Linked DNA regions of Caenorhabditis elegans. The protein of the gene in region 2 purifies or fractionates together with the protein of the main gene of each other region. This does not show direct contact. Each region holds a gene or a part of one and is shown on either strand. Other genes may lie near its edges.

The links. The genes of interacting proteins can lie anywhere in the genome.
Region 1: the proteins of alkb-7 (region 2) and Y94H6A.2 fractionate together in Caenorhabditis elegans (co-fractionation; one large-scale study listed by BioGRID). This does not show direct contact.

What each region holds. Positions count from the first base shown.
Region 1 is NC_003282.8:2,728,318-2,732,945, forward strand, and holds Y94H6A.2 (DUF4781 domain-containing protein), read left to right. Parts: upstream 1-1,974; coding exon 1,975-1,981; intron 1,982-2,036; coding exon 2,037-2,320; intron 2,321-2,436; coding exon 2,437-2,562; intron 2,563-2,618; coding exon 2,619-2,747; intron 2,748-2,794; coding exon 2,795-3,039; intron 3,040-3,584; coding exon 3,585-3,800; intron 3,801-3,852; coding exon 3,853-4,087; 3' UTR 4,088-4,105; downstream 4,106-4,628.
Region 2 is NC_003280.10:12,785,816-12,790,029, reverse strand, and holds alkb-7 (Alpha-ketoglutarate-dependent dioxygenase AlkB-like domain-containing protein), read left to right. Parts: upstream 1-1,876; 5' UTR 1,877-1,889; coding exon 1,890-1,996; intron 1,997-2,252; coding exon 2,253-2,346; intron 2,347-2,817; coding exon 2,818-2,991; intron 2,992-3,270; coding exon 3,271-3,398; intron 3,399-3,467; coding exon 3,468-3,648; 3' UTR 3,649-3,708; downstream 3,709-4,214. Other genes in the region: cpt-1 (carnitine O-palmitoyltransferase), read left to right, coding at 153-659, 1,342-1,434.

The sequences.
Region 1 (4,628 bases), on a different chromosome or scaffold from region 2:
CAAAAAAAAAGTTTTGGCACGCGGCACTTCCCACACAAACGCACATCCCACGCACGCCAATAATTTTCAGATCTATGATTTTTATGTTAAATTCAAAGTTAAAGAAGTGAAGAAGCGTTTTTAATTGTTTTTGTAGTATTTGAAAATTTTCTGTATCGACACTGGCGCCTAGAAAAAACCTTTGAATATTTCATGAATTCAACTTTGCGAAAATTACTCAGTTTTTTTTGTCTTCACAAGGTGTAACGACCCACAAAATCATCCGAGCTTAATCTTCTATTAAAATTCTTGAAAGTCAGATCAAAACGTTCCCCGAAAAATACTAAAATGAGTTTTCCTGCATACTGCTGCCGCCGCTCACATCTATCTTTCTGGCGACTGTGTCATTCAAGGCTTCTATGTCATTCAAACTACTGCCACAGTCATACCATGACAGAACTTTTTTGGATTTTTGTTTTCAAAGAATCTCTAGACCAAGAGCATTCTTTGAACTATAAAAACTTGTAAGATACTTGATGGGTTCCTCGAAAAAAAAAAAGTAAAAATCCCGCAGAATGCCGACTTGCGTGCCATCAAGAACGTGATCTCAAAAGTTCGGAAAGCCTGCAGCGATGCGGTTAGGGAAATTTTAAAAATTTTAAACGTTAATCTGGTCAGTATTTCATGGAGATCAAAATTTATACAAATTGATGTAATAACTCTCGCCACACGTGAAGTTACAGAGCTGCAAACGTGTTACCATACTTATGGCGCAGAAGAAAAATCAATCAACAATAACTTTATTTAGGATACACCTGCAAATATCCAAAACGATTTACGATCATAGTTTTTTCCCAAAAAAGTCTTTTCGAAAAATCCCTCAATCAAGGCGCCGGGTCTTTTTGAATACTCATTTAAGTACCAGTTCACCGGTCCGAAAAAGATAGTAGTGTTGCGCCGAATGATCAACACAAGTCCACATTCATCGCCGAACCGTTCGCAAAGCTTTTCCGCATAATCTCCTGGAGATTCTTCGAAGGATGCTCGATGCAACACCTCCACAGTCGTAGTAAGTACAGTGTACCGCATTTTCTATATTAGTCGCCACTACCATACTTTTATAATGTGTTTAACTGAAGACAATTAATGTTAATGTTAATGCAATATGAACTAATACGGAAAATACGGTATTTATTTAAAGAAAACACCATTAATTAATTTAAATCAATATTCAGCATTCATGACCTTCGTGAGTACGTGCGTGGTCTTCGCGAAACGTTCGGCGCCGAATGTGGCTTTGTGGGGATTATTCGAAAACATAGAAACATTCGCAAACGTTGGGTAAACTGTGACCCAGACGATTATCCCAGAGGACCCGGTGACTGTATTGAGAGATGTTTCAAGGGCAATGGTTCTGACTTTTTTTTTGGTAGTGGCGACTTTTTTCAGTACTGGTACGGTCAAAAGTTTGAGATAATTGCTGGTGTTCGATGAATATTTGTAGTTTTTATTCAAAACCGTTCCATTGTAATAAAAACTACGACATTTTATCTTTTTGCGATTTCTTTTTTTTTAAATAAATATTTTATCTAATACCTTCAAGGAAAACTAATGTATCTTTTACATGTTTTTTGTGAATAAATCTTTTCTTTCTTTTAAAATCTTTTAAAAAAATCAGAATTTATAGTTTAGTTCTTTAGTTCGGAACTCACTTACTATGCCAAAAATCGTGTTCCCTAAATGAGTCACTTGGTACTATTGACATATTTGAGTATTTTCAACACATAATTTTCTTTGACATTTTTGCCCTTTCCGAATTTTTATGAGGAAGACGCTAGCATTCCTGATAAAGAAAATGTCAGTATTCCTCATACTTAGTTCCACAAGAAAAATGGCATGCGTGTAATGTGTAGCACTAGAGTATAAAACAAGAACAGAGAAAAGAAAGATAAGACATCATTGCTTTTCTATTTGGAGACAGTTATATATTTCAAGATGGCTGGTAAGATTCTATTTTTAAAATAATATGAAATTGAATCGAATTCTCAATTTTCCAGCTGTAAACTACACGACGGGATTTATTTCGGTGGTCACTGGCTGCCTAGGAGTACATGGGGCTTATGCGTCCGCCGCAGTGGTTCCGCATTTAACTGCGATTTGTGCATGCGGTGCTATAGTTAGTGCATATGTTACGATGGCTGCATACAAAGATGACAAATCAACGGAGCTGATACTCAGCGAGCTCAAAACGCTCGACAAGAAGATTGGGGAACTGTCACATAAGATGGACGCGTTGTTCGGTGATCTTAAGTCATTTATAACAACGTCTCACTTTTACATGGTATGTTCGGAATAGATATTGGTTCAAAGTGTGGTTACGAAGCCTTCTGCGCAGGAAAAAAGTTAATCACGACCCTTTTTAACCTTCACCCTTTACCCTTACTCAAAATTTTGCAGAATGAGGTCGCTACAATCAAAACGTTGATGAAATACATGCAGGATACGATGAACAATCCTTGTAAATACACAAAAGAGCTATTTCGTGGCGCTGTGACGGATAATAAACCTTTGTGGATTGCAGAGGTAGGACTTATTAAGGAATCACAAGATTTCAATGTTAGACAGCTTCAAATTTCCAGCAAATGATTATAAAACTCGACCAGGAGGAAACGAATCCTCTCAAAATGGCAATGAACTGTGATCCTCTTCGACCAACGGAAACTTTTGAAAAATGGAGAAAAATAATCGACGGAGTGCTTGCCCAATGTGTAGGTACTCACTACATCCCTCACTAAATAAAGTGTATCATATTCAGCTGATTTTGGAGACGTACCAGAATGGAATGTTTTGCGATAAGAACATGATTGGACCGAGTCGTTTAAAGAAGCAAACCGAAGAATTACAACTGAAAATGAATAGATGGGCTGAAGAATACCGTCAAGATCACTCGTACTGGGACGATGGAGTCTTAAGTTTAATCCATAATGTGCAAGACAATAATGAGGGAAGTGAAAATATACGAAATATTTTGACTAAAGAATTGGGCAAGATCATGACAAAGTGAGTATTTTTGTAAATTGACAAGGGACATAAAAGGGTAATTGTGTATTATAACTTTACTTTTTTCAAATTAAATTATGACCGGGGTAGCAATTATTTTATCTGTTAAGTTATTTAAAACGTGAATAGTATTTCCATTATTAGGCTTACAAAGGAAGTATTCCAATTTAACCCCGGTCAATTTAGGCACTTTGAACTGGAAAGAAGTCGCTCTGAAAAATTTTCAATGCATTTTTCACGATTTTCGCAGCCCGTAAAATTCCTCCAAATGTTGATTTTTGCAGATTTCTGATGATTTCTAGGCTTTTGAGGGCCAACCAATTTTTTTCTGGAATTTTTTTAATTTGTGAAAAAATATAAAAGATTTTGGTCCCGAAAGACCAAAAAAGCCAAAAAATCTGCGTTTTCCGAAAATTTATTCAAAAAAAGACAGCCCTGCTGTGAACGTCAGTAATTTTTCTCACATCCACTTACAAATGTAACCATTTTTTGCACACCATATCGCAAACAGTCAGATTTCAAATTGATTTTCCAAAATATTTCAGCCACAAATTTTACGTGATCGTCTACGATTTCTGTGACGGTTCATCTGAGGAGTACCAATTCACTTCATACAGCTATTTCAAACGCAATTTTAAATCTTCTTTCAATCGAAACGGGTGCAATGCTTTTGTTTTACGAAGCCTCAGAACCCAAGATTGCAAAAGGCACGAGGAGAACCTTCAAAGAAAGCTGCAAGCTGCCCTTCCAATGGAATACGAGTTTGTATTTTGCGGCTTAATGGCATAACATTTGATCCAAACATTTTTTCAGCTACAGATTCAAATTGATTGATTATGCGGAAAAGCTTTGCAAACGGTTCGGCGATGAATGTGGACTTGTGTTGATCATTCGGCGCAACACTACTATCTTTTTCGGACCGGTGAACTGGTACTTAAATGAGTATTCAAAAAGACCCGGCGCCTTGATTGAGGGATTTTTCGAAAAGACTTTTTTGGGAAAAAACTATGATCGTAAATCGTTTTGGATATTTGCAGGTGTATCCTAAATAAAGTTATTGTTGATTGATTTTTCTTCTGCGCCATAAGTATGGTAACACGTTTGCAGCTCTGTAACTTCACGTGTGGCGAGAGTTATTACATCAATTTGTATAAATTTTGATCTCCATGAAATACTGACCAGATTAACGTTTAAAATTTTTAAAATTTCCCTAACCGCATCGCTGCAGGCTTTCCGAACTTTTGAGATCACGTTCTTGATGGCACGCAAGTCGGCATTCTGCGGGATTTTTACTTTTTTTTTTTCGAGGAACCCATCAAGTATCTTACAAGTTTTTATAGTTCAAAGAATGCTCTTGGTCTAGAGATTCTTTGAAAACAAAAATCCAAAAAAGTTCTGTCATGGTATGACTGTGGCAGTAGTTTGAATGACATAGAAGCCTTGAATGACACAGTCGCCAGAAAGATAGATGTGAGCGGCGGCAGCAGTATGCAGGAAAACTCATTTTAGTATTTTTCGGGGAACGTTTTGATCTGACTTTCAAGAATTTTAATAGAAGATTAAGCTCGGATGATTTTGTGGGTCGTTAC
Region 2 (4,214 bases):
TAAAAATTCAGAAATTTTTTTTGAATTTTTTTCAGTTATATTCGGTCATTTAGAGCAAAAAAAATTTTTTTTTTGAATTTTTAGAAGCAAAATCCCCATTAACGCTACTCCACCTTTAAAAAACACCGTAAAATAACTCAATTTTTTTGCAGAATCAAAATAAATTCTCGCTGACCTACGAAGCCTCAATGACCCGTCTCTTCCGTGAAGGACGTACCGAAACTGTCCGTTCCTGCACTGTCCAATCCTCGGATTTCGTTCGTTCAATGCTCGACGCCTCGAAGACGCCTCAAGATCGCCTCCAACTCCTCCGTAAAGCATGCGACAAGCATCAGGAGCTGTACCGAGACGCGATGTGTGGACAAGGAGTCGATCGTCATCTCTTCGCTCTCTACGTTATCAAGAGATATTTGGAAGAGGAATCCCCGTTTTTCGATAATATCTTCCCACCGACATACTTGCTCTCAACTTCCCAGACTCCGATGAATCAGTGCGAAGCTGATGCCAAGGGACTTTCCAACGAAGTTCGCTTGAGATTGATCACTGCCGGAGGTGGATTCGGTCCGGTGGCTGATCGGGGTTACGGTGTCTCTTATATTGTTGCAGGGGAAGATACTCTGTCTTTCCATATCTCTAGCAAGAGATCTGCCGATAATACGGTAATTTTTGTTTTACAGTTACAGTATTTTTCTCTGAAAAACCCCCGATTTTTTGGAAAAAAACCCAGATTTTCTGGAAAAAAAAATCTATTTTTTGTCTAAAAAAACCCAGATTTTTTGGAAAAAAATACCAATTTTTTGTTTAAAAAAAACCCGATTTTTTTGGAAAAGCCAGAATTTTTTCAGAAAAAAACCCAGATTTTTTGGAAAAAAACCGAATTTTTTGTTTAAAAAAAGCAGATTTTTTGGAAAAAAATACCAATTTTTTGTTTAAAAAAAACCCGATTTTTTTGGAAAAGCCAGATTTTTTTCAGAAAAAAACCCAGATTTTTTGGAAAAAAACCGAATTTTTTGTTTAAAAAAAGCAGATTTTTTGGAAAAACCCGAGATTTTTTGTTGAAAAAACCCAGATTTGTTGGAAAAAAACCAATTTTTGGGAAAGACTCAGATTTTCTGGAAAAAATCCCCAGATTAAAAAAAACCAGATTTTTTGAAAAAAACCCAAATTTTCTGGAACGAACAAAAGATTTTTCGTTTGAAAAAACCAGATTTCTTATTGTAAACAATATTCATATTGTGGAAAAAAATTTTTTTTTAAACTTATCTTCAAAATTCGAAAAAATTTGAGCAATTTTTGCCGAAAAACCACAAAATTTATCTATTTCATCCAATTTTCTTCCAGAGCTCCCGTGAATTCCGTGAAGAGCTCAAGCGCTCGCTCAACGACATGAAGAAGCTCGCCGAGGCGATTGAGGCGCCGAAGAAAAAGCAATAAGTGCTCCGTCTGAATTTATTTTTTTAAAAAATGTTTTTTTTTGGTTTTCCCGGCCATTTTTAACCCGCAATTTTTCCCTTTTGTTGTCTCCTTTTCACACACACACTTCGTGTACATTATACGTCCTTCTGAAAAATGCTCATTTTTATTGGATTTTTTTCCCTCAAAAAACTTGTCTGACTGGTAACAAAATGTAATTGTAAATACTAACAAAAATTTGTTTTTCCGAAAAAAAAAAGGAAATTTCCATGTATTTCCCCCAACCCTTTCCACTTTGTATGTCGAAGCCCTCAGCATAATGCGTTTTTTTATTTCTTTTCGACTATAAAATCATTGTGATTTTTAAAGAAAATAGTTCAACAGGAAAATGGTTTAAAAGCCGTAGAAAGCCGTGCTTTAGAATATTCTCAGAAATTGGAAATTTACAACAAAAATGTTTCAGTGGAACAGAAAATATGAAAATTACACCGAGAACTCTGCAACATTTGATAAAATTTCATAATTTGGAACTGTGGCCGAAGGATTTGGCTGAAACTATGAAAACCTGCTGTTATGTTAAAAAGTAGGCAAGAATTTGAAATTTTGAGCGAAATTGGTATTAGAGCGGATTTGCATACTCCACAATTTTCAAATTTTACGTGAAATCGGTGAAATCAGAGAAATCGTCAAAGGAGCGCGATTGCAACTTGAAAAAATTTGAATTTAAATTGGAAGCAGCGAAACTCTGGGGAATTATCCGTAGAGCGTATTTGCAAGTTTAAAAAAAGATTATTAGCATTGGAGCGCGCTTGCAACCTTAAAAATTTCGAAATTTTCAGAGATTTCATCACAGAAGCCGAAGAGAAAAGCCTTCTCGTCGACGTTGAGCCACACATGAAGCGTCTTCGGTACGAGAAGAGCCATTGGGACGATGTAGGAGTTTTTGATCATTTTTATGAGGAAAACAGATTTAAAATTTACAAAATTCAAAAAATGATAGTTTTGTGAAAAAAAATTTATTGAAAATCTCGGATAAAATATGTTTTAATCCAAAATTTGACATAAAATTTGAAATTTAGAGTTCTCAGTCAATAAAACATTACTGGTGGCTTAGAAATATTATTCTAGGCCATCAATATATTGTCGATGACCTAGAAATTAAAATTTTGGATTTCTAGGTCATCAATATAGAATTGGTGGCCTAGAAATAATATTCTAGGCCATCAGTAAATTGTCGATGGCCTAGAAATTGAAATTTTGGATTTATAGGTCATCAGTATAGAATAAGTGGCCTAGAAATCGTGTTCTAGGTTTCAGATGAATTCATGGCCTAGAAATACCTATTTCGAATTTCTAGGCCACCAGCAAGCTTCCCGTGGCCTAAAAGTCTCCCATATTTTCTAGGCCATCCACCTATACCGAGAACGTGAGCAACGAAAATGGCGAGACGAGAATCTCGAAGTGATCTCCCGCATCCGGAGTGAATCGTTCGGCGCCAACACCGAACATTTGACCTACGTGCATATTTTGGATCTACACAAGGACGGTGTCATCAAACCACACATTGACGCGATTCGAGTGCGTGCAAGTTGACCAGGGTTCTGGGCTTCCTCATCGAATTTTTCGCGCTCTATTGACAATCCCCCGCCGGACAACGCGTGGGAAAGTCGTGTACTCCACACGGACAAATACATTTAGTTTTACAACTAAAATCGAGCCGCGACGCGACACGCAACGCGCCGTAAATCTACCCCAGATATGGTCGAGCCAACATGGCCTAGTTCGGCAATTATTATCATTAGAGCGCATTTAAAACTTATAACTCAAAAATATTCAAAAAAAATCCGAAATTTTCAGTATTGTGGTGACGTCATCACGGGTGTCTCCCTGCTCTCCGACGCTATTATGCGGCTCCGGCACAAGGATCAGAAGGATGAACTGATTATGGATCTTCTGATGCCTAGAAGAAGTTTATATCGATTAGGGTGAGTTTAGCCATAGAGCGAACTTGCTCACCACATTTTTAAAAAATCTAAAAAATTCGAAAATTTCAGCGGTCCCGGACGATACGATTTCACACATGAGGTGCTCGGCGAGCAGGAAAGTGTGTGGAACGGAGAACAAGTGCCCAGGGAGCGAAGAATATCGATTATTTGTAGAGATCTTCCGAAAGTGGCGAATCGGCAGACGGCTGAGGAGGAGATTAAGCTGAAACCGATTCCTGAAGAAATTTAATTGTTTTTATTACCTGTGGTTCTTAGAATAAATTGTTGCAATTAATAAACAATTAATTATATTTTTGTATTTCATTATTATCTAGAGGCGAAATATTGCGATTTTAGCGCCAAACATGGTCTCGACACGACAGATTTTTGTTAAATGCAAAAAGGGGCGCGCCTTTAAAGAGTACTATAGTTTTTATCGATTTTCAGAGAAATTTCAAACTACAGTACTATTTAAAGGCGCACAGCTTTTTCGATCAAACCAGAATTTGTCGCGTCGAGACCTGGTACCGTATTTTGGCGCAAAATTTAGCTTCTGGTTAATAACACAATGTTATAATAACTTCTCCAGCACAGAAAATTAGCAGTATTTGAAGGTACGAATATATTACGGAAACACAAAATTCTAAGAATACGTACTGCGCAACATGTTTGACGTGCAAAATATCTCGTAGCGAAAACTACAGTAACTCTTTAAATGACTACTGTAGCGCCTGTGTCGATTTACGGGTTGTTCTATCTTATCGATAGAGAAGCTTAAAAATGAGAAAATATTGCAAAGAAACTAGTGAAAATGGA